Linked DNA regions of Caenorhabditis elegans. The protein of the gene in region 1 interacts with the protein of each later gene in a pairwise test. Each region holds a gene or a part of one and is shown in the gene's direction. Other genes may lie near its edges.

The links.
Region 2: the proteins of mpk-1 (region 1) and mig-5 interact in a two-hybrid assay, tested with the Caenorhabditis elegans proteins (3 studies listed by BioGRID).
Region 3: the proteins of mpk-1 (region 1) and spdl-1 interact in a two-hybrid assay, tested with the Caenorhabditis elegans proteins (4 studies listed by BioGRID).
Region 4: the proteins of mpk-1 (region 1) and ifo-1 interact in a two-hybrid assay, tested with the Caenorhabditis elegans proteins (3 studies listed by BioGRID).

What each region holds. Positions count from the first base shown.
Region 1 is NC_003281.10:4,224,563-4,231,357, reverse strand, and holds the start of mpk-1 (Mitogen-activated protein kinase mpk-1), read left to right. Parts: upstream 1-3,263; coding exon 3,264-3,467; intron 3,468-6,795. Other genes in the region: Nuclear hormone receptor family member nhr-20, read left to right, coding at 260-375, 424-581, 640-735; F43C1.5 (uncharacterized protein), read right to left, coding at 965-1,005, 1,248-1,469, 1,543-1,619, 1,671-1,810, 1,931-2,047, 2,093-2,161. UniProt on the Caenorhabditis elegans protein: Functions in let-60 Ras signaling pathway; acts downstream of lin-45 raf kinase, but before the lin-1 gene product in controlling vulval cell differentiation. Plays a negative role in proximal germline proliferation in the mitotic zone.
Region 2 is NC_003280.10:8,180,755-8,187,781, reverse strand, and holds mig-5 (Segment polarity protein dishevelled homolog mig-5), read left to right. Parts: upstream 1-2,758; 5' UTR 2,759-2,773; coding exon 2,774-2,812; intron 2,813-2,878; coding exon 2,879-3,027; intron 3,028-3,081; coding exon 3,082-3,235; intron 3,236-3,276; coding exon 3,277-3,352; intron 3,353-3,404; coding exon 3,405-3,882; intron 3,883-3,924; coding exon 3,925-4,047; intron 4,048-4,093; coding exon 4,094-4,419; intron 4,420-4,467; coding exon 4,468-4,992; intron 4,993-5,142; coding exon of another isoform or gene 5,143-5,155; coding exon 5,156-5,304; 3' UTR 5,305-5,459; downstream 5,460-7,027. Other genes in the region: T05C12.8 (ANK_REP_REGION domain-containing protein), read left to right, coding at 1-169; cct-1 (T-complex protein 1 subunit alpha), read right to left, coding at 396-582, 741-1,397, 1,443-1,748, 1,793-2,216, 2,261-2,336; dylt-3 (DYnein Light chain (Tctex type)), read right to left, coding at 5,473-5,912, 5,958-5,964. UniProt on the Caenorhabditis elegans protein: Plays a role in the signal transduction pathways mediated by multiple Wnt genes. Functions redundantly with other dishevelled family members throughout development.
Region 3 is NC_003280.10:7,778,894-7,784,752, forward strand, and holds spdl-1 (Spindly-like protein spdl-1), read left to right. Parts: upstream 1-2,672; 5' UTR 2,673-2,693; coding exon 2,694-2,729; intron 2,730-2,777; coding exon 2,778-3,020; intron 3,021-3,066; coding exon 3,067-3,390; intron 3,391-3,438; coding exon 3,439-4,071; intron 4,072-4,116; coding exon 4,117-4,320; 3' UTR 4,321-4,458; downstream 4,459-5,859. Other genes in the region: snpc-1.1 (snRNA-activating protein complex subunit 1), read right to left, coding at 503-698, 752-1,036, 1,083-1,164, 1,226-1,544, 1,589-1,798, 1,844-1,912, 1,958-2,035, 2,086-2,170 and 1 more; skr-17 (Skp1-related protein), read left to right, coding at 4,985-5,022, 5,072-5,576. UniProt on the Caenorhabditis elegans protein: Transient kinetochore component required for chromosome and spindle pole alignment and chromosome segregation during mitosis.
Region 4 is NC_003282.8:7,319,794-7,329,670, reverse strand, and holds ifo-1 (Intermediate Filament Organize), read left to right. Parts: upstream 1-3,007; 5' UTR 3,008-3,008; coding exon 3,009-3,101; intron 3,102-3,152; coding exon 3,153-3,227; intron 3,228-3,860; coding exon 3,861-3,926; intron 3,927-4,344; coding exon 4,345-5,150; intron 5,151-5,192; coding exon 5,193-5,289; intron 5,290-5,387; coding exon 5,388-6,387; intron 6,388-6,718; coding exon 6,719-7,138; intron 7,139-7,186; coding exon 7,187-7,435; intron 7,436-7,482; coding exon 7,483-7,977; intron 7,978-8,024; coding exon 8,025-8,163; intron 8,164-8,210; coding exon 8,211-8,293; intron 8,294-8,344; coding exon 8,345-8,530; intron 8,531-8,610; coding exon 8,611-8,780; 3' UTR 8,781-8,937; downstream 8,938-9,877. Other genes in the region: sqst-2 (ZZ-type domain-containing protein), read left to right, coding at 711-779, 824-974, 1,021-1,125, 1,382-1,785.

The sequences.
Region 1 (6,795 bases):
AGGAAAAATTTGATTTTGGGCGCATATTTTGAATTGAGAGCTCTCTAGAGAGAACCAAATTTTTGGCTATCGATGCACCATGAAGAAAAATTTTTTAAAGTTAATATAACACAAACTGAAATTCAAATAGAAAATGTGAATTAGGAATAACTTTACTGTTAAATAAGGTCACTACGACCTTTTTTCATTCATGTTGCATCAAATAATTGTCCTGAAAACTTGAATGTTTTGGTCAATTGAATTTTATATTATTTTTCAGGCTATTTCTTGGTTTTTTGGGTCGCTTCAATGACGCTATTTGCCGGCCGATCCGGAATTTAAAAATGACACACGTGGAATTTGCAGCTCTTAAAGCTTTGTGCATTTGGAAACTGGGTTAGAATTCATCTAGTGAGAAATTAATAAAAATCAAATATTTTGTAGGTTACTGTGAATTTACTCCAAGTATGAAAGTAATCGGGAAGGAACACGAAGAAGCATTGCTCAACGGATTACACAATTATTATGATGATTTGTACGGAAATCCTGATGAAACTGGCATGAGGATAGGAAATCTCATTTTGTTAATGGGAACTGTTTTTGTAAGTTTTCATTTACAACTGATAAATGAGACTAAAAAATAATGTTTATTTCTTTCAGGAAATGAATCAATTAATAATGGAAACCTACAAATCGGCGGAACTTTTCGAACTATTCAAGCTAGATGCTCTTTCAAAATCCCTGTTGACACTTTAGTGGAATTTGTTTTCTTTTTTTGTTTTTAATATTTTAATACTTTATATGGAAAAATCAACATTTTACGGGTTCTCTCTCATCTTCTGTCTCCCATTTTCTTGTATTTACTGTTCCTAATACAAAATATAGTTGCGCATTTCAAATGTGATCAATCTGCAATGTGATAAAATAAAATGAATTCATTATGAGTCTCCTTTTTATTTAACAACTGAAAAAATAACAATTTAGATTATGGTGCTGAAAATAATCTCGAAATTCGTGATCCGGAAGCTGAAAAAAATAATATTTGGGTACGGTAGTTGGTGAAATACGCAAACACCGCCACGCGTATTTGCGGACTTTTCATTTTTCAAAAAAATTTTTTTTTAATTTTCTTTGTTTTTTTCTGCAAAAATCGTTATTTCTCTTTGATTTTTTGCGGGAAATTTGTGATTTTTAATGGTTTCACAGATGTTTTATCGAAATATCAACTAAACATAGTCTCGCGACCCTATAAATCATGGCCACCCCACCTTTTCTCAACGTTTCCTTTATTTTCGCCGCGAAATTCTCCGATTTTACTTCTCCCTCCCCGATGTATGGTCCATCTGGAACACGATCTTCGTCCGATCGTCGTCTCGGTTCCAATTTTTTCGCTTTGTTCACACTAATTTTAGAATTTTTCGAATTTTTCCCGGGAATTTTCACATGCCGGCGCGATTCTTGAATAGAAGATGAGTCAGAACATGACTTTTCTGAAAGAAATTGTGACGCCACGTGTTTATTTTCTCCTGTTTTTCCCATATTTTCCCAAAAATAAAAGCTCACTCTTTTTCTCCTCACTGATAAGGGTGTTCACTTCTCGGTGTTCAAGTAATAAGGCCAGTTGTTGGTCTTCATATGCTCTGAAATTTATTTCTCACGATTTTCAGTGTATAAATAATTTTATTTTCTACCTCGCAATTTCCACATCTGTAACCGTATCCAAAAATTTTTGATTTTCTCTCAGTTTTTCGTTTATTTCATGCCTTCGCTGCCTTAATTTTGTTAAGTCTCCTCCATGTGGAATAGATTCAGAAGTCGTTGTAGTTGGCGTCTGAAATTATTTTTGGAATTTATCGATCGAAATTTGAACAATTGAGATACAATATTCTCGCTGACAGTGCTTTCTCGTGTAGTAAAGCAATAATTTCTATAAACAAAAAAATTAACATACGTTATCATAAAGTAGCTCATTAATAGTGGCTGAAACATCTCCATCATATTTCCGTAGAACATATTCAATATGTGAATTGCTTAGACTGGGAAACATAGCTTGAAAGTCCAGCATTGCCTGAATATTTTGAAAATTTGTTGCCAAATTTGATTCTAGACGTACTCTATCAAAATCCAATAGTTCTTCTTCTACCACACCAGATCGGTCTTCATAGTCATCATAATCCGTCATTATTTCGTTAGAAAAAGCTGAAAAATAGTGTTGAAAATGAAATGAGTCAGCATTATGAAGAAGAACGCTCGTACAAATATTAAACATTTTGGGTGGGCGGTCAAAAAGAATGAGACAGTGTTGTGTGTGTACAATGGTGATTGTATTATCGGTCTGCGGTGAGAGAGTTATGAAAAAATACAGGGAAAATAGGCAGAATTTGGAGTGAAATTGCTAGTAAACTCGGAGTTTTTTTTTTGAAAAACTGCAAGTTAGAGTCTCTAAAGTTCGGAAAAAAGCTTTCTCTGACATCATAAATGATTTTTGCTCTTTTTTACTTCAACATAGTGATTTGGGAAACCATACAAAAGATAAATGGCTTCAAAACAGGAACAATATTATGCATTTTCTGACGAAGCTAATTAATTGACGAGGAGAAACTCATAGACTTTTTATTCATAAAAACAACTTTCGAATAGATTTTCTGCATTTTCTGTTTTTACATAGTTGGCCAGTTTTACTTTTACTGCGGGAAAAGTTCTATACGATTTTTTTTCCTTTATTTAGTGTATCCATTGAGCTAGAAAATACGAAAATTTGCCTTATGTCCCGAATATATCTGTAAAAAAAAACAGTGTTTAATTTTTCAATGATTTATTCAATTTCGCTGAAATATAAATACAAAATCGGCGGAAGGGAATTTGAATTTTTGCACTTTCTGGCAAAATTCATGGATTTTTATAATTTCACTTTTCATACATTTTTAAACAAAAAATGAAATAATAGTTAAATAATCGAATTTTGAACTGATTTTAAAGTTTCCGAAATTTTATTTCAGGTCGTCAAGTTTTCTTCACAAAAAAATCAAAAAAAAAATCATGGAGCCGTTTCTTTTATTTTTGCAAAATTGAAAAAAATCATTAAAAATTCAGAAAAAGAAATCTATAGTTTTTTTTAACAGTTAAATTTGGTAAATTGAGGGAATTTTCAAAAAAAGTTCCTTTGCAATATCAGAAATTTCTTTTCCGACGAAATATTTCACACTCTCAAATATTTTTATCCGTTGCCAGAACTTCTTCTTCATAAAACTAATAATTCTTTAATTTCAGAACCACGAAACATGATGCCAACGTGGATACCTAACAATTTGTGCGCACAGCCGACAACGAGAAATGCTAAACCACCATCGAACGGGCATCCACAAGCGACACAACAACAATCTGCTCCGGGATCATTGGCATACCGTAATTCGAGCAACATACCGAATGGAGCAACCAACCACGTCAGACAACAGAAATGGCAGTACACTCGTTCAGGACATAGAAAGGTACGAATGATAAGAAAATATGAAAAAAAAAGTTGGAGAAAAATAAACAAAAACAAGCATTTTTAGAAGCTGAAAAATATTAAAATGCTCTTTGGTCAGTTGGAAAATTTGAAATTTTTGCATTGAATTTCTACATTGAATTTAAATTAGAAAGTAAAAATACATTAAAAAATTAAGTCATTCAATTTAATTGCAAAATTCACAAAACGTTTTCAAAAAAGTGCACAATGTTCAAATAATCAGAACATAGCACGTAATCGGGTTGATTTGCCCATTGTGCTCCCATTATCGGGAAAATAAGTTGCGTATTGCATCAAAACCACTAACTTTGTACTTTTATTAGCCTATTAAGACTACCGTGACAGAGTACTGTGTGTGTGTGCTGGAAGAAAAGATTAGTGATGTGACGTTGATTGGTAGTTTTTGAATTGGAAAAGAGAGAAACGGAAGTGTGAAAGTTTGAATAGCTCAATGAAAATGGTTGATTTGAATGAAAAAATTCAAATTTTAAACCAGAAATTGTGCTTTGTGTTTTAAGCTTGAAGGTTTGATGATTTTTGCAGATTGACACTTCATTGACGTATTTAGTTTATACCGGAACACCTCTTAGAATCGTAGTTTTTCAACGAAATTTGAATTTCTGCTAGTAGAAAAAAACTGTTCACAACTTGAACATTTCGTATGTATCCCAAAATGCGATACCCGGTCTCGAAACGACACATTTTTTGGTAAATGCAAATAAGTGTGCGCCTTTAAAGAGTACTGTAATTTTAAACTTTGCTGTGTAATTTTCATCAAAATTTTTCGATAAAATTTTTTTTAACCTCAAATTAAAAAAAAGGTTTTTTTTTAATTATGAGAAAAACTATTTAAAAAATCGAAACTGGGTACCGTATTTTTTGGCGTAAAAATCCTAAAATTTCGCTACTGGGTAATAGTTGTATTTTCGAGGTTCCACTACAAATTACCGTAATCTGAGTGTCCCCCAAATTGAATATATTTGCATTCTTCTAAAGTTTCCAGTTAAGACATCTAAAATCTAATAGAATTAATTGAATTGGTCGTCTGATTGACATTCCAGCGTGCAAGCGGAGATTGGAGAGAAAAACAATGTTTTTTTTTCAAACCGAAAATCAGAACTTTTAAACGAACAAGGAAAAATCGAAAAGGAGTGTTCAAATACAAGAATCCATCTTCCGGAAGTTTTCTTCGTGCGTTTGGCCTAGATGACCCAGATTTTTCCTTTTTTCCGGACTTGAGCTACAGTTTACTGTACTTTGACACGTATTCCTTTGGGAACCCCGAGGATTTACACTAATAATTGATGTTGATCTATCTTCTACCCGCTTTCCATCAACAAACTATTATTTTGAAATCCCGTTGTGTACCCGGGTGAATGACTGACAGAGGTGTGAGGTACTTTGTGTATTATTTATGTTTCTCAAAATGAATGTAGATTGATTCATTGTAGTTTCACAGTATCGAAATTGAATTTTTCCGGAGTTAAAGTGTTCAGTAGTAGTTTTCAGAAACTAATTAGTTTTTTATCTAATAACTTCATACATCTGTTACAATTGTTGAATACCATTTTTTGTCATGATGAATCTATAGTTTCTTCTATATAGAATGAATGCGAACTCAACAGGAAATGAAAACAAAAATTCCGACTACCAATTTTTCCTTAAATTTGAGAATCTGATATTCAATTCTGAACCAGAAATCTGAAAATCTGGAATTTTACATCTGAAAAACCATGGAAATAAGTTGAAAAAGGCATTGAACATTATAAAACTCATATGTTCAATTGGCCAAATTCTCACTCGGAACGTTTCCAATATCCCGGAAGTTTTTGCAACTGAGACAAACTGAATTTCCCGACATTATTTCTCGAATTGAATCTTCTTTCAAAATTCTTACTCATTCGACAACACATATGTTTCAATTTTCCTCGGAATTGGGTGTGTTTTGTGTCGGATTTCCTCTCATTTTCGTTCGGTTTTTATTGTTGCGTGGAGAGCTGCATGGAAGAAAAAACCAATTTGATATGAAAGAAGAGCAACACTCATCATTCTTCTCCTCGGAATCGTAAAACCGTAATTGTACGCGTTGGTTTATTTGTCGATGAAGATGATGAGTAGGAGGAGATGAAGAAATTGAAGACGTTAGAAAGAAGAGAAAAGCGTAGAATTACACGCTTCGAAATTTGAGATTTAAGATGGAAATGCGGACGACAAGAAGAGCTCGTTCAAAAGATCGATTTTCATTAAAATTTTATATGGATTTCAAAAAAATTTCGGCAGGTTCTTTTCTACTTTGCGACTTTCAGAATTGAACTTGCTAGCTCCATATTCCGCATTAAATCTCATCGTAACATAAAAACGATTAATTTTCCAAACTCTAATAATTCATTTGTGAGAGATTTTTTTTTCTCTTTTCCATTTCATCGAAAATTCCGCGTTTTCTTAATCTCTGGATTTGTGATTTGGGCGAGAATCTCAGATTTTGCAAAAGAAAAAAGTGACGCGAGATTTTATTTACTCTCAAAAAATGATAGTTCGCAACTGCAAAAAGGAAAATAGAAAAGTATACTCCTTTTTTCTATGTCGAACTAAAAAGACATGCATCCTATATCCTTTAATTCGTTATTCGAACTTCATTAACGTGTTGTGCTCATCGGTGCAGATCCAGTCATTTGAATACTTTTTTCCCTTCCTCTTCGCCTCATTTAACTCAAAAAATGGAGAAACTCGTCTTTTCTTCTTTTTTTCCTTTTTCTCTACTCCAAAAAGGGCTTCTAAGTGTATTTGCACCACAACGTCTACATTAGTTGATGCTTCTCCTTGATGTCTCATCCGAAAATCGCCCCCTGTTTGCCCCCCGGAGATGGCTGAGAATAGAACACACGCATTGTTTGCCAAGGGAAGTCTACTGGCACTCACTCTGAAATCCTAACAAAACCAACCATTTGGCTACTGTTTGTTCATGTTTCGTTTGGAGAAGAAGAAATGAAGGCGGTTGTTGCACTTCATGGTTTTTATCGTTTTTTTTCAGTTTTGGTGGTAACAGTCGTTTTGAATTTTTGATACTTTTGTATTTTCCGATTCGTGGTGGGATTTTTACCTCGACCTTGCAAAATTTACAAACGCTAAATGATTGTTATTATTATCCCTCGAAATGGTTACTGTAACGCGAAAATTTTTTTCAACTTTTAAGATAATATTTTTTAAAGATTAAATTTAATAAAATAATGTGTTACAAAATACCAGGAATTTTATATAAAAAACCAATTATTTAAAAGAAAAATCGAAAATTTTTTATTGTTACAGTA
Region 2 (7,027 bases), on another chromosome or scaffold:
TGAAGGTCCATCGAATAGTGGATTGTTCCGATGGTCATCAAAGGATAAACCGATGACCAGTACTGTCAGCACTGCTAATGGTGTCCGTCTCCCTCCACTGAGCCTACGCCGTCGTACTAACAGTGATCCGAAAAATCGCGATTTCACATCACTGGGCGGCGATGAGTAATACAACTAAATGTGGCAAAGCTTCTTCATTGTTTGAATAATGAAAAACGAATACAAACAACTTTGAAATCAAAACATTAAAACTTACAACATTTCGTTCAATAAAGTATCATCAAAAGAAGAAAACAAAAGCTGAACATGAGAATTTGGGATAAGGAGCAGCAGATCGGAATTATGTGAGAAGCACGCGGAAAACAGGGATATATAAACGGGGTAAACGGGAAAATTTAAGCGTGGCAATCATCTCCTCCAAGTGGCTCTTGCTTGTCAAGTTTGATGAGGTCATCAATACGCAATATCGTAATGGCTGCCTCAGTGGCGAACTTCAGAGACTTGACCTTACTAAGAGCTGGCTCCAAAATTCCAGCCTCCTTGTTATCGCGGATCGTGCCTTCTTCGAGATCCAAACCAGCCCTAAAAAAAGAGTGAATAAACTGACTCAAATTCAGAAAACATGAATTAGACGCTTTTTCTAAGCACAAAACGAAATTTTTTGAAATAAATTATTTTAATTTTATTACATTAAGCTAACATGTAATAACCTACTCTTTAAAAAAAACATTTTCACTTACCACTTGAGGTGTTGAAGTTGTGGGATCAATTGAGCTTTGGAGTGGTACGCGCGGAGTTTTGTCACTAAATCAGTAGAATCTCTTGCAGCATTGCTTGCCAAAACCTTCGGAATGATGAGAAGCGCTGAAGCGAATTCAGCAACAGCAAGCTGCTCGCGAGAAGACAAGGTTTGTGCATAAGTTTCAAGGAAAAGACTGAGAGAAGTCTCAACAGCACCTCCTCCAGCCACAAGTTTCTTGCTTTCCAGAACTCTACGAACAACACAGAGTGAGTCGTGAACCGATCTCTCCATTTCATCGAGCATCACATCGTTCGCTCCACGGAGGATAATGCTGCTGGCAGTACGAGATTTCGGTCCCTTGATGAGAATGAGCTCGTCGTCACTAATTCTTTCTTGAACAATTTCATCGGCATGTCCAAGAAGCGAGGCATCGAAAGCTTCATCTCCTTCCAAAGTAGCCAAGGAAACAGTCAATGTGGCTCCAGTAGCTTTGGCAATTCTCTTCAAGTCTGATTTCTTGCATCGACGAACAGCCATAGCTCCAGATTCGACAAATTGCTTCAAGCACAAATCATCGATACCTCCAGTTGTAAGAACAACGTTGGCTCCGGCTTTCAAAATTTTATCAATGCGGCGTTTGGTAATATCGAATTCTCTGAAAATTCCATAGCTTAAAAAGAAACGAATAGTTTCAACTCACTCTCTGCGAATAGCCTCAAGCTTGGCTGGATCTTCAACAACGACTGAAATACCGAGGTGCATCTTAGCCTTCATCAAAGAGAAATCGAGACATGCGATCTTGGCATTTTGAACACGAAGTGGCATGGCCTGACTGGCAACTGTGCAATTGAGTGCATATCCTTTCACCAAAACTGATTCGCGAGCGCTCTTTCCGTGGGCCTTCAGAACATTGACTGCATTGATAGGATAAGTGACTTTCCCGTTATTTTCCACACGAACAGCTTCCGCGGCATCAACAACCAGCTCTCCGAAGAAATCGGCGTCTCTGAAAAATCAATTTTCTTGAAGCATAGACAACACCAAACTCACGGTCCGATAATCTTACTGCTCATGGAAGTTTTGGCAGCGTTGACAACTGATTGTCTACCAATCGAGTCGGAAGTGAATGAGATGTTTTCACTAATGTACTTGACGGCTTCCTTGCACGCGAGACGGTAACCATTGATAATAGTCGTCGGATGAACTTTTTGTTTCACAAGCTCATCGGCTCTCTTCAAGAGCTCAGCCGCCACAATAACGACAGAAGTAGTTCCATCTCCGACCTCCTCGTCTTGCAGCTGTGCAAGTTCTACAAGCACTTTTCCAGCCGGATGCTCAACCTCGAGTTGTTTCAGAATTGTGGCTCCGTCATTTGTGACAATGACATCTCCAACATCATCGACAAGCATTTTATCAAGTCCGACAGGGCCAAGAGATGACTTCACAATATTGGCGATCGCAACTGCCGCGGTGACTGCAATTAATTAATGTATACTTATATTGAGCTTTCGGTGTTACCATTCTGAGATCTGATGCCTTGTCCAGTAGTTCTTTTACCGGTGAGGGCAAGAATGGAATCTCCAGCTGATGCCATTACCTGAAACACAACCGTATTAACTTAGCAATAGAGTAGGACATTCGATATTGAGTCAAAAAGGGGCTTTGAATAAGCACTCAAAAATAAAAATATACGTAAAAATGAAAATATTTCAGTAAAAATAAAAATGCTTCCAGAAAATCGGGGATCCCTTGAATTCTGAATCAAAATTAAAATTCTTGTAGAATATTCTCAGAGCGCATCGTACTTCATGCATGCTAGAAGGGTAATCGTGCCGAGACCCAACACCAGCTGTCACTAGGGCGTATTTGCAACATTGTTCCCACCCGCGATTTATTGCCGATAAATTAAAAATAAAATTGTTTCCGCTAGTCCTTTGCAAACAAATTTGTTTTTTTTGTTTCCTCTTGTAATTTTTATAAATATTTTATTGGTCTATAATTTAAAATATTGAATTCAGATTTCTAACATTTATGGAGCCGCCATGCACATCAGACTGCAGCCAGATAAAAGTAAGAATTTTGATCAGAATTGTTTTTTATTAAGCCAGTGATTAAACAGAAATAATTTTCTTCCAGGTCTTCTACTATCTCGACGATGAAACGACTCCCTATGTTTCTGTTATTGAAGCCAGAGAAGGAGTAGCGACGCTTGGAAATTTCAAAAATTCATTCACCAAGCGTGGATATAAGTATTATGCGAAGGAACTTGACCCGGATATTCAACGGTGAGTTTTGGCTTTTTTAATTTTTGTAATTATTCTGTACTGAAAAATGTTCAGAGAAGTTAAAGTCGAATTAACAACTGATTCGGATCGGCTGCGCAAATCCCAGAATGGATTTTATGAGATTTTTCTCGTTAGCACTCCAGGATATGGAACTCTTCCTCGAAACAGTGGAACAATGACGCGACCACAGAGAACTGCTCTAGATAAGGTTCGATTTCTGTTATTTTCAAAAAAAACTGATATTTTAAGCGCCGCCGACGAAGTGCAGACTTTGACGCGACTCCGTACTCTGATGCTAGTCTTGCTCCGAGCACCATTGTTAGCAGTGAGTTTTTGCTATTTATGTACTCTTAAAAACCTGTATGAACGTTTTTCAGGAAGAGCAGGAGAGCATCTGGCAGAATTATACACTTCAAATTCAGAGGATCCGTATCAATATGACGAGCATACACGTCGAACAGGAGATGATTCTTCGCTCTACGAACCTCTCGCTGCTCGTGATATGAATAAGATATACGATGACGATAGAAGAAGGAAAAAACAAAAGAAAGAAAGATTCAGAAGACCGTATGTTCCAAGTACTATTAGCTCAGCGACGGAATCAAGTGTTAACAGCGGCCTCCCTCGAATTCTGGAAATTTATCTACCAATGAAAAATGTTCCATATCTGGGACTGAGCGTGTGCACAATTGATGGTCATATATTCGTTTCCGAAATTGCACCAGAAGGTGCCGTTGAAAAAGATGGACGTGTGAACGTTGGTGATCAGATTCTTCAAGTTAATAGAGTATCCTTTGAAGAACTCAGTGGGCCTCAAGCAGTTCGTTCGCTCAGAGAAGCTGCATCCTCCAAAAGGTATTTTTCTACGCATTAGCATTAATTTTTTTTAATTTTTAGACCAATTACTCTTTATATCAGTAAGTTTGCAAGAGGTGCCCCAAGTGAATATGATGATCCACTCGCGTCCATGGCGTCTGAAACGATGCCCCTCGACGTTGGAGTTTGGGTAGAAACCGCTGTGTAAGGGTACCTCGCAAGATTTATTTTCTTAATTTGATACTTACAGGCAGAACACTGAAAAAATGAAAGCTCTGGGTTTGGATCCACAGGAGCAAACGGCAACTACAATTGATGACGGAACTCTTCCATTTACATCGACAGCTTCTGATGATGAGGAGCGAATGCTTTACGATCAACGTAGAAATGGAATTCCAAGAGCTTTGATTGAAGAAGCAGAAAGAAAACGAGAAAATGAGCAAAATGAAAAAATAGAGCAACTCACAGAAATGATTGATCCCATTATTGTTGTTCGTTCTATGGCTCGTCCGGATTCAGGATTAGCTGTCAAAAATCGAAAATGGCTGAAAATTTTGGTTCCAATGTCTTTTATTGGTGAGTACTGAACATTCAAGTATTAGGATCCAAACAATCAACGTTTAGGCCGAGATCTAGTCGATTGGCTCGTTGATCACATGGCTGATATTCATAATCGGAAGAAAGCTAGAATCTATGCTGCGAGATTGTTAGCTGCTGGTCTTATCAGACATGTCGTCAGCAAGTTGACATTCACAGAAAAGTGCTACTATGTATTCGGTGATGGAATTCTTGGCAATGATCGTAATTCCACGGACACCACTGGTACGAGTGGAACTACAATGCGAGTTGAAGCAACTACTGAAGTGACGTATGTTGGCTCACCAGCACCACATGCTCTGGCAGCACGAGTTGGAAGAAATATTCCTCATCGATTAGAAACCACTACTCTAAGCCCAGTTGCTCATGACCAAACATGGCTTCGAAGACGTCGAGATTGTGAGAGTCCTATGACAAATGATTACGCATCGATGGTCGGAGAAAGCCAAATTGGAATGAATCCAGTCGGAAATTATCATGTTTTTGGGACGAAAAATAATCACCGTCAGGTACCGGCACCTTCTCAAGTGACATCCTCAAGCTTGACAAACGGTGAGAAAATTAATCGTTTCTATAGGGTGCAGGAGTTAAATTTGAAGCAAATATTCATTTCAATTGATATAGTATTTGCTGTTTCTTGACTACTGTACCCTTTGTATCCAAATGACTTTTCACATAACAGTATTTCCCCAACCAAATTAGTTACAAATTCCAGGAAGTGGTGGCTTAGGAGGCCCTCCGCCGACTCCTCTATCCAGTACTATGGTTCTAGCAGCTTCTCCGATTCAGTCGCAGAACGCAGTCAACCACGATTTCGACGGGGAGAACAGTAGCAACAGCAGAACGCGTATTTTACGGACTTAAAATTTAAAACTCATTGCCTTTACCGATTCTCGCCTTAATTCCCACATGCTTTATTAATATTTAAAACTATGCCCTGTTTTCATGTATTTCAGTAAGACTAACGTTTTCATTCATTCATGTAATTTTGAGTCTATTTATGAATTATTTTAAATTTCTTCATGACGATGTTCACTTCGAAAAACGATGTGTGATGAAGAAGACTTGGACAGCACCGAAGATAGTTTTAGACATCCATTCCGAGTAGTATGCAGTATCCTTCGTAGTATCCCAGGAGCACATGTTGGCCGTGCAAATTGCAAGATTATCGGTTTTTGCAGAAATAGTACAATGAACCAAAAACTTTTTGCTTCCATTGAGCTTCACTAAATTATCCGAAATTGTTTGGATCATCTTGCTCATCCAATCAGACATTTTGAATGGAGAATATGGAGTTTTACCAATTATTGAATCAAATGATTTTTGAATAATTAAATCAATTTCTTGTTCTTCGGCATTTGAATAGACTTTCTTTTTGAGTTTCTTATTTTTCTTTTCAATCAATTGTCTCAAAAGCTGAGCGTTTTTTGATTCAATTTGCCGCTTTGCTACAGAAGAAGTTGTAGAAGTGTCTAAAATTTCAAATGATGTTGCATAATGTGACAAAGAAAACTAACCTGTCATTTTGAAACAAGGAATGAATGAAATAATTAAAGTTATGCGATAAACATTTGTTTTCTAAATTTGATATATATATTAGAATCTGGTATAAATTTTTTTAACAGTGCGTGTAATTAGAACACGCTCTGAAGGCGAAGTGTTTAGTGCCAATTCAAAATATTACTTACAATTAGACCCGAAAATTTTGCGCTTTTTGTGCCAAAAACACGGTACCTGGTCTCGACACGAAACATTGTTTTTAAATGCAAAAAGGTGTGGGCACAGCATCTCCGACCGGGAGCGAAAAAATTAATTTTATTATAAAATGTGTTGTTAAGTTTTTGTTTTGTTTCCGCGGCTCTGTACCAGATTTTACACTAAAAGTGCACCAGTTTGGAGCACCGGACACACAGAAATTGTGTAATGTTGATGGCGTTCCGTATCCGAAATTGACATGTTTGCAGGGGTCGGTTGAGCTAACAAAGGTGGGTGGTGGAAGACGGAAATACGGTTCGAAGGAATAGTGGGGGGAAAGCTGACTGATTAGCTTGCCATCAGTGATTTACGGAAAATGTTCTGCTTCCTACTATGATTTCCTCATAATTTGAAATTTCATTAACTCTTAAATGTTTACTTAAATGTGATGCGAATTACTCAGAAAATGCACAGTTTTGGAAATGTAGCAAGTGACCAAAACATTTACTGAAAAAAACCTTCACCTTTGAAGTTCCTCTAATATCCAAAAAGTCATCATCAGTCCAATAGACAAAAAGTATTTCCGGTCCGTCATGGCAAGTTTGCCTTTCTCATCACAAACACTTTCTCTCATCCTTTAATTGTTTGTAGATGAGCCGGTCATTAACACTTATCCCTCTTATATCTATCATTCAATAAATCTTTTTGTAATATGCGCACCTCAATAATGTCTACAGACTCTTGATCAAGGTTTGTGGAACGTTTCTTTCTGTTTCCATTCAAACTATTTAATTAGATTTCCTGTAAATTCTGGAATGGAAAAATTTAACTTCATATTCAATTATAACAATGAAAATTAATTTAAAATGGCTTTGTGCAACTTCTTGAAAAC
Region 3 (5,859 bases), on another chromosome or scaffold:
TTACTATTTGATAGTATCTCAAGAAAGAATGGGAAACTAAGCAAGACCTTGAACTAATCGTCATTTGAAGAGAACTTTAGCATAGTACGTTTTCAAACGAAAACCACAATTTCTCAATACTGCCTTCCCATCACAAACGAAAATTTTATCCTATAGGATTAAAACCAATTTTCAGTAGAACTACAACAAGATTCTGAAAAGTGCACTCAATGCTTTCACGAATGGGCTACAGCACAAGATGATAACTGTATGAAATAATCATGTAATGCACGATATCAGGCCATTTCAATTGGTCTTTTGCGGCGATTTATCACTGGTGATAATTGGAAGTTGGACAGATAAAAGTATAAGATTGAAAAGATTGAACCAACAGAGATTAATAAAATAACAAAAGTCGGAGATGATAGGCAACTCAGCAGCAAATTTAATTTAATTTTCAAAAAAAAAATTCATGTAGTATAATTTTCATTAAAAAAAATGGTTAGCAAGGAAAATGAAATGATTATGTTTCTTCGTCTTCAATAACTTCCAGCTTAATTTGACTTGTCAACTTTTTCAAATGTTTATCCGTAGCCTCGACTTGTCCATGCCATGCGTGCAGTTTGTTGGCCCATTCATCACTGATTCGAGGTTTCACTTCAACTACGCTGGCCGATTTTCTGTTCTTCTTGTTCGCAGGCGATGTGAATGATTCGTCACTGAATAATTTAATAATTTTTAATTGAAGAAAAAAACAAAAATCTTCACTTACATTTGGGAAGCAGTTATCGGAGCAGAAGTTTGTGGGATTTGTTCTCGTTTCACTTCAACCAATTTCGCATTTGCACGTTTTGGTGCCCGAATTCTTGCAACTCCCGATGTTCCCTGCTTGCCTACTTTACCGCCCAATGAATCTTCAGGTATTTCAGGCTTTATTCTGGCAGCATACTCATTTCGTAGAACTTCTTCAGCCAATGCATTATCGTCTAATAACTCTTCAGGATTAACTGTTGTCGTTTTTCTGCGTCGCCGTTGTCTTACAGGGCGATCAATCGGGCTGTAAAAATAGGTTATTATTTTGGGGTTAAACTGTAATTGCTTACATTGGAACCTGAGCATCATTATCATCCAAACATTCCTGGGCGATGTCACCAAACGTTCTTGCGGTAAGATGTTTGAAGTTTTCTGCAAAAGTTGAACGCTGACTTTTGAAAAAAAAAAACATATTTTCGTGTAATAAATGTACCTTCCATGTTTGGATCAAGATGCCTTCTTTGTCTAGTGTGTTTTAGTCCTTCAGCATATGCTTTACTTCTCAAAGTTGATCTGCTTGAACCAGCTGTTTCCTCTGGAGCGCTACTAATTTCTGGATTTGTTGGAGAACTTTCGAACTGTTCTTTATATTTTTCGACAATGCCCTTGATTTCGTGTAATGGTGATTTGAGCCCCGTTAGAGTATCACTTAGTCCAAGTTTTTGCTTAGCCTCTGTGTAAACTCCGTGAATAAATGATAATTCCGTCATAATATCAGAACTGAGCATTTTCGTAACACTGGAAAACGGCTCCTGAAACTGTTTATGAAAAAATTCCAATAATTTAACTTACTTACAACTGGAATTTTGTTAAAATAGGGCAACTCTTCCTCGGCAAGGTATTTTTTGTGGGTTGCCGGATCATATGTCGACTGAAACACTTTAATTCTAAACGCTTTCTTCAGAATAAGCATTTTGAGAGCCGCAATTGGTTCAAGAAGTTTTTCGACTTCTAAAGATTTTTGAAATTCGAGAAGCTCTTCGAATTGTACCGCAGTGACCGGAATCTGAATTAAATTTTTTAAAACTAAATTAAACTTAGAATTAATCACCTGACAGACATGATCAACTGGCTGCAAATTGTACAACGCATAGCAAACATAAACTCCGAATAGCCTCTCCTGAAAATATAACATTTCAGACTTATTTTTACTTCTATTTCAAACCTTGAATGCCCTGAATGCTCCAACTTCATTCACTTTTCCGAAATACATTGCTGCGTGTTGTAACAGGTATTCAGTAAACTGAAAGCCGGAATATTATAATAGACTAAATAAAATCAAAATAAAGCTACCTCTAAGCATTCGGCAGGATTTAATCGATAATGAAGAATGGTCTCAAAATGCATATCCCGAAAAACATCAGCAAAGTCTCGAATTCTTAATTAATCAAGATTTTCCATCAAATAATACATTTTCTAACTATACCTGTTGGATCCCATAGATATAAACTTGTTGCACAATAAATGAAGATCTTGTTTAACTCCAGTTCCCATAAATGGCGTGGGAATACCTCCAGAAGCCATTGCGACTCGTTTTTTCCTTGAATCTTCAGAAATAAATCCGAAAATAATTGACGAAAATAAAAACATGCAAGTGCGCTCTATCGTGAACAACCAATTCTCGGCGGGAACCAGCGGTATTCAACGCATTTCAAAATGAGTTGCGCCTCAATTTACCTAAAAATATTGTTTTTCAATCGTTTTGATATAATTTAGCTCAAAATATTCCCATAAAATTAGTTTAAATATATTCGCAATCAATTTTACGCTTTATTAAAACATCAAAAGCTATAGATCTGCGTGAAACGTTCTTATAAATCGTGTTGCCGTGAAAAATATTCTACTGATCGTTTTCTATCGAAACATTTTCATGTTTTCAGAAGAATCGAACTTCAATCAGTATGCCTGACGACGAGGAGAAGCTCCAATTACTTGCTGTAACGTTTTATCATTTCATCTATTACCAACTAAACCTAATATTTCAGGACGTTGAGAGGCTCAAGAAAATTCTCCGTCAAAAAGATGAAATGCTCGAGGAGATGGAAGACGATCTCAAAAATCAGGGAAAACCTTGTTCTTCCAAACTTTCACTCGAAGAACGTGCACAAGAATTGAGTGAACAACTTCGCGATCTTCATGTTGAGATGGACGGAAAAAACGCCACAATTCTTGATCGGGACGCTCTCATCGATTCACTGCGTAGTGAGATCGACAAACTCGAAAAAATTGTAGGTTTTCATCATTGTGGGCAACATTAATATATTGAATTCTCAGAATAAGGAGTTTGCCAACGGATCAGTGATTCCCGAACATGATGATTCCAATTCCTTCGGAGAATCTGAAATGCTTCGTATTAGCGAAGATTGTCAGAAATACAAAGAGACGGCGACTGCTCTTTACGAACGAAACGCCGAACTCGAAAAAGAAGCGGTCAACTTGAAAGATGAAATTGAGTCGATGATGGATCATATTCGGGACCTCAAAAATCATATGGAGACGCGTGATGAGGAAATTGCCAGATTGGAAGGAGAGCTTTTTGATGAGAGAAACTCCCATGAAGGAAAATTAGCGGCACGCGGAAATTCAATGTTTTCTGAGGTAGGTTAAAAAATATCAATTAACTGCATTTTTTTTAATATTCTTCAGGTTATTGATGCCGAGCGGAAGGTTGAAGAAGACCTGAAAGTTCTTCATGGAGAGAATCGAGCACTGAAAGGGATGGTAAAACGTCTTCGAATGGAAGTAGAAGAAGTCGAAGAAAGACTTCGGTCATCCACAAAAAGATTCAACGTTACCCGAATGACCACAAGTGATATTGATGTCAAAGAGATGCGTCGTCTCAGAGACAGAGTTTGTCACCTGGAAACGGAAAGGGTTCATTTGTGGGAAAGAATGTTCATTAAAATGAGGTCAATTCCAAAACGCGAAGTGGGAGCGTTGATTACCGGCTACTTCAAGTCGTTCGAATTGTCAATTGCGAGCGTGAAAGGAGGTTTTGACGGTTTGATGAAGGACAACGAAAAGTACGTGACAATTATTCGTGGATTGCAACAGGAAGTAGAAAATCTCAAAGCGGACATTGTGCAACTACAATTCGACAATAAATGTGCTCACAGAAAAGCTGCACCAGTTGTCAATAAGGATTTCGAGCACCCGCTTCTTGCTGCTCCTCTGAAAACTCTTAACAATGGACGACCATCATTCTTCATTAAACCGAAAAACGTGGAACCCATGCCTCAATTAGGGCATTCATTATCCAGTATTGCCGTTACGCCACAGGTAGATAAAAGTGCAACTTTTCACTATAAATAATTATTTTTCCAGAAACCAGCAGCTAAATTCACCACTCGTTCCTCCATCAAAGATGATACTTCAGAATGGGCAGAACGTCGTATGAAAGCTCAAGCTGAAAAGAAATTGGCGACTCCGACGCCGCGTTACAACTATATCAAACTGTCCGAGCCCGTTCCAAAATTCAAACCGGCTGTTCTTCAAATGCCATCAACCTCAGAAACAAAGGAAAACTGAGTAAACATCATGTTCGTAGTCATCTCGTATTCATATAAAACCGCCTGTATTGATCTCGTCCCCTCTATTCACCAAGTTTTGTCGATTATTCTACAATGTTTCCTATTTAATGCATGTCAAATAAAATTATTTTTATTATAACGCTCATTCTTAGATTGTTGATGTTCAAGAACTTGATAGAGCCGCTGGCGGGAGTGCAGTGGAGCGCGAAACCCTATCGATATTACACGATCACTTATTGATTTATATATTTTTAATATTTATTATTGTAAATATGGGGTAGAATATAGAAAAATATTTTCCAGATTTTCTCTTCCCTACAATCTTCGGAGATCTCGTATGGATATGCTTTCGATATAGGTTCAGTTCTTACTACTAGTAACATTTGAGAGAGCTTAAAATTTAAAAATTGTAAACCGTTCGAATTTGTTCTGGTGTGGGGTTCGCATGATATTGATCGTTTTTAATATTTACGATGATTTTTTGTGTTGTGCGAGGGTGTTTTAAAATTTGAATTTGCCGCCGAATGAAGTAGAACAAGAACGCAAATGCGCTCTGTGGCGAATGGTGTTCGACAAAAAGTTTTTAAGATCATTTTCTCAGCAAAATTTCGTTTCCTTTCTAATTTTTCCATTTCAGACATCACATTTCGTCCGGAAAGCAGATGCCGAAGAAGAACAATACAAAACGAGCACCACCAAGGTATTTTTATAACATTTTGATAAAAATAATTATCTAATATTTCGTTTAGTGTACCAAAGCCGTCCGGTCCGCCACCTCGATTACTTCAACTGACATCCTCAGATGGACATTTGTTGCAGGGAGACATCCGGGCCCTCCTCCTCTCAAGTACACTTGCTGCAACCATCAGAGAGCTAGGATATGACAAGGAATACTGTGCTGAATTAAAACCGGTACCTGTGAACAATGTTGTTGGATTTACATTAAAATTACTGATTGAATGGTGCGATAAACACAAAGAAGATGATCCTGCAATTGCACTGGCCGAGAAGGACAAGAAAAATATTTGCATTCCTTCCTGGGATAGACATTTTCTCAGTAGACTGCCAATGTCAAATTTGTTCGATCTGATTACTGCTGCATATCATTTGGACGTTACCGGACTTATCAATTACGGCTGCAAAACAGTTGCCAATTCTGCGAAAGGAAAAAATGCCGAGGAAATGCGAGAACTTTTCGGAATACCTGAACCATGGGAACAACCATCTACATCGACTGCTACATGGGATGATTAATTTTCTGTTACTATCTTCGATCTTCAAATATTTCAATTGCACAAAACCGGTATTATGGAAACAATCATTTCAGCCATGTCAAATTGCAATCGAGTTATTCTTTGAATACTATTTTTGTTTGTTATTTATTATATCTTTAAAATTGCATAGGATCGCTCAATGAAAATTACTTTATAAAAAATCACATTTGTATGTAGTTGAAATCATGGAAAAACAAGAAAATGAGTACTAGATGTTGCCATCAATAGAGGTTTTCCTAGGCGTCGGAAGTTTTCATCGCAAT
Region 4 (9,877 bases), on another chromosome or scaffold:
ACTGTTTCATTCTCTTCCTAAAATAATTTGTCTAATAAATGTTGGATCTTGTTAGTGAAAAATGTGGAAAGTTGATGTTTCTTCTTTGATTCCTCAATCTTGCTTTTTTAGAAACCTTTAAATTTGGCAGTGGAAAACTTTAAATGAAATGGATGTCTCAAATAGTTTCCGGATTTAATATGTTGCATTCAAATATTTTTATTTAAGACTGTTTAATTTAGAACATTTTAAAAGTGTTTTTTACTATTTTTTGGTACTGTTGCAGTAACCATAATCAAGTATAACGATATGAAAACTTTCAAAACGAACTGCTCAGCCAGTCCACAAGCGGCATACTGTTAGTTTATTTCGGCAAATTTTGTCAGTTCAATTTGAAAATTTATTTATTAAAAAAGGATTAAGAACTCACCCAAGAGAATGCCCATCGTTTTTAGTGTTATTTCTAGTGTTATACCAAGTCAATTCAGATATTTCAAAAAATGCAACATTCTCTGATGTGCCTTCTTCTTTTCTTTGCTTTGCTCTCCAAAAATGACTAACGAGTGGAATGTTATCTTATCAAAAACTGCATCATTCAGCATTTGACAAGAGTTTCACTGGCGCTGAAATCAACATTTTCACTTCTCGACTCTTCCTAACTTTTTTTCTAAAATTGCTCATTACTTCTATAGATTAACTTTTTAGTTTTGATTTAGTTTGGGTCAACAAAAATGAGTAGTATTCGATACAGGAGACCACCAATCATAGAACGAAGATATGAAAGAACTCCATCATATTCGGTAACTTCAAGAATATTCGATTTCAGTAATAAAACTGTTTTCAGACGATTCCAAGGGATATTCATGTCTCATTCTACCATAATAACTATCACAGATCAAAGATTTTGTATTTGAATAAGTTCAACGCAATGGAAAAATTAATTGAAGCTGCACACGAATTGTATCCATCAAATGGTGTTTATCGTCTATTTTCGGGTGAGTTTTTTGAAATGAAAAAATATTTGTAATAATTTTTTAATAGATAGTACAATTGGTGCTCAAAACGAGTTGAATGATTCAGTGCAAGTTATGGAATGTGTTCAAAATCCTGATCATATTCTTCCACATCTACATATAAGACTGGAAGGTAAGATTTTACGGAAAACTTTTTAAAAAACAGTTCCATAGTCCTATTATAACAACCTTGTTAGTTCTTTGTTAGATAATCTTACAATTTGAAAATTCAATTATTCAAATTAAGTTTTTTTAAAAAAAGGAACAATGATCTTTCAAAGTATTTTTTATTTTCAAATTTTGAGAAATTTCAAGTTGTTTTGCAAAGGTGTGTTCTTATGTAACTCAAAACTAATAGTAACAAAATTTTTAAAAATTTAATTTTTCAGATTACCGTCCCAGAAGCATAAGCCGTAATTATCACGAAGTTAACGTTCCAATAATTCGAACTCCATCTCAACATTCAATCCATCAATCTGTTCGATTCAACGATAACAAACGTCATCACCATCATCATCATCATGATTCAATAAGAAACTTCGTCCATCATGACACTCCATGCCGAAACTGTTTCCGTATAATTGTTGGAAGCCGTTATCACTGTCTTCAATGTCCAGACTATGATATTTGTGGAGACTGTGAAAAAGATTTGGTTCACTACGAGCATGCTCTTCTACGAATTGTGACTCCAAGGGTTACAAGTATTCCTGATTATGTCACAGTTAACGCCCCAAGTTACATTTTCCCAGAACATCGTTATGATATCAAAAGAGAACATTATCATTGGTTTTAAATTGTATTTTATAGTTTTGTTGTTTTTCCTATTTATGTTGTGAACTTAGTTTTTCTGTCGGATTTCTGTCCTATCTTGTTATACTTAAAAAGACCAAAAAAGTTATGTAATTGCAGAAGTGCAAAAAACCAAGACGCATCCTCCATTCAATTTTAATTTCCTGAAATCTATCTCGCAAAAAAAAAAACAAAAAAAAAAATTCCCTCTTATTTTGAATTTTAAAATTAAATTTTTCTTGTGCTTTTCAGAAATCTGTTCCAATTGAATTTTCATTCCTATTGACTTGTAGGACTAGAATTAATAACACCGCGGACCACCTTTATTGAGAATTTCAAAAACATTTTGTAGGCCATGTTTCCAATTTTTAATTGTCTTAAAATTAACACAATGTTTCAAAATTTCTATTTTAATTGGCTCCATAGAACACTTTTCCATGTAATTAGAAAATGCCTACCTGCCTGACACCTAGAAAGTGACCAACGCTTACTGTGCATTGAAAGCATGCAAGTAGGCATTTTTGCATGCGTGGGAGGTTTCTACAACTCAGCCAAAGCAGTCTATTGTACCTACCCATTCCTTATTTATTCTTCCGCAATCACCAATGACGCGTTCATGATTTTTCACTTTTTCAAAAACAAAATTTGATTGTCACTGCCCTTATTAACTTTTGCCCACGCTTATTAAATTAGTTTCACTCCTGCAATTCAAATCCTACTAAAACCTCTCTGAAAATGTTATTTCTCCTTTTTGTTCAATAAAACTCAAATTTGAACATATTCTGATTCTGAGTTACACAAATATTTTCAGTCCCTTCAACCTATCATAAACTTTGATATTTGCTCAACATTTTGGAGAAAGCGATGAAGGAGTCAAAAACGGGCGGCCCCGTTGCATTCCTCCTCCAAACGCACCAAAAACTGATAAGATGTTGTTAAGAAGAAGAAGGCACCAAAGAAAGATTCTCTTATCACATTTTTTGGCAGAGAGGGAAAGAATTGCGCCTATTTCAGTTGATTGTTCACCCACCATTTACTACACTATTCCAACATTTTTATTGACTCTTTTCGTTGGAATTTTCCATCGAGTTCAAGGAATACTACTTCCACTCTACCTTTTCAAACTTCTTTGTTGTTTGCTTAATTTTTTCCTAACTTTTTCACGACTGAAATTACGAATTCTCAAGTTCAACTGTCCGTTGTACAAAATTCGAATACGATTTCAGCATGGGAGACCTACAAGTCGACTTGAATGCAGCACTTGTAGCCGTTAAACAGAAATGTGTGGACTTGGATGAACAAATTCGAAGAGAGAATGATGTAAGTTGTGTTCAAGATCCATAGAAAATGTAAATTTTCTGGTTTTTTCAGAGATCAGAAAATCGCGGACGTGGATATCTGGGAGTTCGTCGATACATCTATGCATTGACCACCAAGAAGAATGAGGTCTGTTTTTATTTTAAAAGTGTTTTTTTTTTGAAAGAGCTGGCATTAATTTTATTTTGGACTAATTTTTCAAAATTCCGCAATTCGCCTACGATATTTGCAACTCATTGCTCTACTTTGACAGCTCTCGGTTCACTTTGGGTTTATGTTATCAAAAAATTGCCAACTGACAAAATACGCGCATACTATTTTTTCTATATTTTGCTTATTAAACAACTGTTATAAAAGACAACCAAGATATAAATAAAGCAGTTTGGGTGCAAGTCTAATAGTGAAAATACGGTAAATGTGCACTTAACTTTTAATCATTTTTTCTGATTTAATTTCGATGTTTCACACAAAAACCACAAAACACAAAAGTTTAGTATTTTAGAGAAACTATGTTTTCCAAATTTCGACCTCAACTTTGACTCATTCTTAATCCCCTCCTACCTTCCAAAAATTTAATTAGTCATCATAATTGCGGATTGCAAATGCCACAGTGCGTAGTAAAATATCAAAATTTCGGCCGCAATCACTGATAACAGATGCCATTTCTTTTTGTTTAGAAGCATTGTGCAAGTGTCATAAAATGAGAAGGAAGTAGGCGATTCGGGGTGATGATGACGTGGCAAACATTGAAAGTATTTTCAGAACCATCTACAACGACGTGGGCGATCTTTGACAAGGGTGTACGTGGAACAAAAGTTTTACAGATCTGTGAGTTTTTGAAAATGAGAAAGTTGTTTTTGTTATTTTTGGGTTGGGTACAAATTCGTATCATTCTGAAGAACAGGTGTTATAATGCTTTGATAAATCGTTAATACGATATTGAACTTTTCAAGACTATTTTTGAAGACTATTTTAGAAGATGATTGTGCATTGTACATAGAATTACCAATGTGATAAACTGTATGTAAAAAAACTACCAGAAATGTTTTAATGCTTCATCTATTTTTTGTTTTTAAAAAAACAGCAAAAAAGGTTATTTCATAGTTCAATATTTATGAAACAAATAGTAAAAGAGTGCAAACATTTAGAATTAAAAAACAACAAAAATGCAGAAAATAAACGTTTTCGATATTTAAGTTTTTCAAATAAAATCAACGAAATAAATATTCATAATTCCTCCTTTCAGAAATCTGTACCATCTCCGGATCAAGTTCAACGCCTCGAGGATTGCACACAGGATTACGGACCAAATGATGAAGAACGCCTGGAATACGTGGAAACTGTTGATGCTCCATTGGAAGAGCTCATTAAAGAAGATCAGTCTCATCGCCATGTCGTCTCACAAAGACTTCCACAAGGGCACGGAGAATGGGATCATGAACTTGCAGTTTATGAAGAAGATGGTGGTTCTGGGCTTTTGGAGGATCGAACACTGACTGTGAGAGCTGGAGATCATCCTTTCGGAATGAATCAATTCAACGAAGTGGCAGAGGATATTAGTGCAAGAATCGCCAAGTTTTTTGCTGAGAAAGAAGAGAACCACATCAGAACTCGTGAGCTTTCTCTTTCAGTTCATCCAGTTTATCATCAAAGTAATGGAGATGCATACACTTCATTTGGAATGTCCAGGTCAAAATCAATGGGATCAGTTGCTCACGAAGCACATCAAACATCTAACAATCAACATAGTTCTGAAACTCATGGAACTGCTTCTTCAACTCAGTCACGACCACGTTTGGATCAAGTCTCTTCCACTACAAAGTCCTTAAGCAATTTGTTTAGTGTTGACACTCGTCATGACTACAATTCTCGATATGGAAATTATGTATCTGGATATGGACATTATGGAACACCACTTCCACCAGCGAAAAATCAAGAAGTAATGCCAAAAATGCCAGCGAAGAAGTCGGAGCACATTTATGATGAGCCAATTCATAGAACATCTACCACAAATGTGTATTCAAGCACTTATGAGAGAAAATATGACTTCAAGTGAGTACCAAATCTGTAATTGATTGCTAAACTTTTTTATAGAACAACATTCCCACCAGAAATCGAAATGCCAGAAGGATATCACGATTATTATGATCCGAGCAAGTTCATGTTCTTGGATGCAAAAGGTTATTATCAGGTGAGCAAAAAAAACTTGAATTGGAAGACAATTTTTGAATACTTGACTTGTAAATTTAATAGAACCAAATTATTCTCAGTCCATCCAATTTTTTTCAGGGCAACATCACTCGCCCACTTCACTATTCCTACTCTCGTGACTATCTAGAAAAGTACTCGGACTACGACGGAACATCACGACTTCCATCTCCAGCTCCTCCAAAGACCCCGGAGCCAGCATACACTGTGCTCAATAGATCAGAAGATCTCCCACATCACCCTACCCATTTGTCTTTCTCGTTCCCAGACTATTACGATCACGCCACTCAAATCATTCTCAGTCGTGATCCTGGACTTGAACATATTCCATATAAAATTGGGCCATTTGCTGATTACTATGACAATGTTCATCGTATCATTCTGTCGCATACCAAAGATTTGGATCATTGTAAAATTGTAATTCCGTCGTTCCCAGATTACTATGATCTGTCAACTAGATATGAAGTGCTTCATCGAGTTGAAGACATTCTTCATGAGCCAATTGTGATCGAGGAATATCCGGCATATTGTCCATATGAAGACACGAAATATGAAGTACAAGAGAAATCTGTGACATTGGACGATGAGCATATATACGAGGAAGTGTATGAACCTCCACTACCTCCACTTCCACCTCCAGCACCACCAATAGTTGTTCATGTTCTGAACTACACTAGAGATCACGATCACATTGTATTCGTCCCATTGCTTCCTTACATTCCACCACCACCTCCACCTCCAGCAGAGATTATTCACGTTGCAACTCCAGCTGAAGTAATTGAAGAAGAACCAGAGCCAGTTCCAGTGCCAGCTAAACGTCATTATGATGATCTTTATATCGGAAATGACGCTCTTGATGTATCAGTGTCTCCACATTTTAATCAATCCAATGATCAAAAGAATTTGGGATTAGAAAAGAGTGTCACTGATAGAGTTAGAGAAATGGAAAGAGCAATGAGAGGAGAAGAAAGGGAAAGACTTTTGGAAGAAGAAAAGCGAAGGAAATATCTGGAACTTCAGAATGAGATTAAGGCAGCACGGGAATACGAAGAAGAACATGCATATGAAGAGATTCAAGAAAGTGAGTTGACTTTTGATTGAATAATAAGTTAAGAAGCAACGATTCCGCCATAAAAGCAAAGTTGATACGTAGAATAGGTTGTATTCAAACGAAATATGAAATTTCCAATCGAATTATAGAAACTTCTACCCCATCTTCACCTTGTAAGATTAAATGTGATAAAAGGAAATTACCAAATCGTGAGTGTGTTGTAGAATTTGACTAGAAATGGAAGATGAAATAGATAATAGTAGTATAGATTTCCCTGCAATCTTCGGTGAAAATGACAGCTTTTTGAATGATATCAATAGCTAAAATTCCCATCATTCCCACCAAATTTTTACTGTTTCAGGCAAGAACACTCCTTGTCCAGTATCACAGCCTATTCTTATTCCATCGGTGTTTGTCCCAGTGGCAGTTCCAGAACCTATCCCGGAGAAACCGAAACGAACATGGCAGCCACCTCCAAAATCCGAAGAATTTTTGGACGAGCATATTGACAAGCCACTTGGCCCTGTCATTTTCCATGAGTTGATCTACCGCAACGGATTTTTGCTTAAAATGAATGAAGAAAATCATATTCTAAGTCAAACCCGTCCAGTCAGTCATCCAGTTTCTCGTGCCAACTCTCGACCAACGACGCCTGGATTAGAGATCAAAACTATCGATTTTCCACGTCTCGATGATGCCGCATCCCCAAGAGATCACTCTGATTCTGCTGGAAATGTTGATTATGTGCATAAACATATCGAACGGTACAATGCGAAGGATGGTAATGATCTGATTAAAACTGTTTATATCTAAGAAAGTGTATTTTCAGCCTCTGTTGTCCAAGATTCTCACGACGAGAGTCGAGCTCATTCGCATATGCTTTCAAATACCGTCCAAACTCATACACATTCTCAATTAATCAATCAGAATCAGGCGACTCATTATGATGCTTATGCTACTTCTCAACACTCGAATGCTCAAGAGTATTCAACTGTTCATGGATCACAAACTCATCGAGGAAGTGTAGTATATGATGAACCACATGGACAAGTTGTCTATGATATTCCACACGATCAAGGTAAAATATTTAAATTATAATTGAAAATATAAAATTTTCTGTTTCAGAACATCACCATTATGACACTGTTCACGTTCAACACCATCATCATCATCATTATCATACAGATGGCAGTGAACATGTTCATCACTATCATCAAGATGAAAATGCTCATCAACACAGTACAGCTGAAAATGAACATATTCATCACTATCACACAACATCAAATGAAAATGCTCACCATCATCACTCGGTTCAAAATGAGAAAGATATTCAATATCAGCTGGCTCAAAGCAACCAATCGATTCGACAAATGAGCAAGACCAACAACTGGGATGAACAAAATATTCAATCATCAAAGAGAGCTCACATTGAGGCACACATTCCGGTTAACTCACCATTTGTGAAAAGAGAAGATTCAAGAGTTAGCACCACTTCTCATGTGAGCACAGCTTCAACTGCAACTACCACGGGAACTGTTGTTCAGTGCTCGAACTCGTTGAATCGCCAAAATATTCCAGCTCCATTGAAAATTCAAAACGGAAACTCAGAGTCCTATCACGGTATGACATGTTTCAAAGAGGTGTTTCTATAAATCTCGTAATTTCAGAACACAATCATCACCAGCATGTGCATTTTGACAGTGTTGAAAATTCGGAAAACATTGCTCATCAATGTAAATCAACAACTTCCTTGGACTACCAGCCAGTTCATGTCGGACATGTCAAAAATTTGGCAAAACTTTTCAAGTTCGTAGATTCTTTTTAATTTCTAGATTTTAATTCTCGAATTCCAGTAAGCCCGACGAGAAGCCACTGACAACTGAGCAAGTGATCTACCGTGTCAGTGCTGCACCACCTGGTCATCACTTGGAACCAGGTATTTGACATTTCGTCAGCTGATTCTTTTTAGTTTCAAAATAATATTCAGAGATTAAACCTCGTCCACGTTCTTTGCCCCGCATTCCACTTGATGAGATTGAACTCCATGAGCATGGAAGTAAAGATCATATGACACGTCATCATCATGAAATGCACCAGGGTACTGTAGATGAGCACAGTGAACATGGTTATTCTATTGGTGGTGGTGCACAAAGGATTGATGTTTCAGCAAGAAGTAAGTTTGAAAAATCTAAAAGAATTATCACCATCCGCTGAACGTCTAATAATAAATATTTCTACAATCAGAATTTTCAGCTTCATCAACAGTGATGCACTCTCCACCTGTCCAAGTTCAACACAACTCATACTATCATCGTCAGTCATCAGACGAGGAGTCAATCCGTGTTCGTCGTGTCTACAAGGCCCTAGATGACACTTCAATGCTCTCTCCGGTCTCCTTGTCCGGCGATGGACCAAATTTTTAAATTCCGAATAAGAAACAATTTCATCTCCGTTGATTTCATTGCCTCTAGACTTTCAAATTGATTCAACAATTCTTAATCTTCCGATTTCGGTCAGAAAATACCTGTCATTTTCAATTTTTGTTTGTATTCCTAACATTTTCTAATAAACTTAACTGTGAAGTCCAGCCCCGCCAAGAATAACGAGCATTTCCTTATGAGGCCCAGGGGGAACATTCAGAACTTGACACTCGAAATTACAATGCAATGAGGGCCGTAAGATTATCTTTTCAGAAAATATATTTTTGAACCAATTTCCAGTTTAATGACCATAGATCATTGCATGCCACTCACCGAAAATTGAAATTTGGCAACAAACATTTTGGATCTTCCAACAAAAAAAAATGCATACACTTGTTCATATTTTTTGCAATGTCCAACGTATCCCTTATGACTAACGTGAAATGTTTATATAAATACATTGTTAGTGTCATAGTCTCTACGCCTTTCTTTTCTTTCTCTGTTTTTTCTCTGCGTCTCTTCATCCCATCCACTATTTTCTCACCTCTAACTCTTCCGGGGGCCCCGTCAACAACGGCCGCCTCCTACCCGGTCGCTGGCGCGCTCTCTTTCTCGTATCTTTTTGTTCTCAATTTCTCAAAATCTCTCTATATTTACCCAGTGCTTCTTAACTTTTTTGTCACACGTCTCTCCACAACGAGGAACAGCCGCAGAACAGAAACAGAAACATACGCGTGCGCGCGCGCCTCTTTCTCTCCGTCGGTCTGCCTGAAAATGAGAGGATGCGGGGGGCTTCTCTGTTCCTCTAACTTCCTGCGTTTCTTCATTTGTTGTCTATCTCTCATTTTTGGGTCGCTTCATTCTCTCTTAGTTCCTCTGTGAGGGAGGCTTGATGAATTGAGTGCATTCTCTCTTTCTCTCATTACGAAAAGGGCATTATCCTTTCGAGCTTCATCTTATTGTCTTTTTCCTTAAAAAATTACCTAAGTGGCCCTTTAACTTCTAGATAGACCTTGGATTTAGACTCTATCGTTTACATCCTCTATTTCAATTAAGCAAAATCCATTTTGCATTCCATATATCATATTATTTCTCACAGA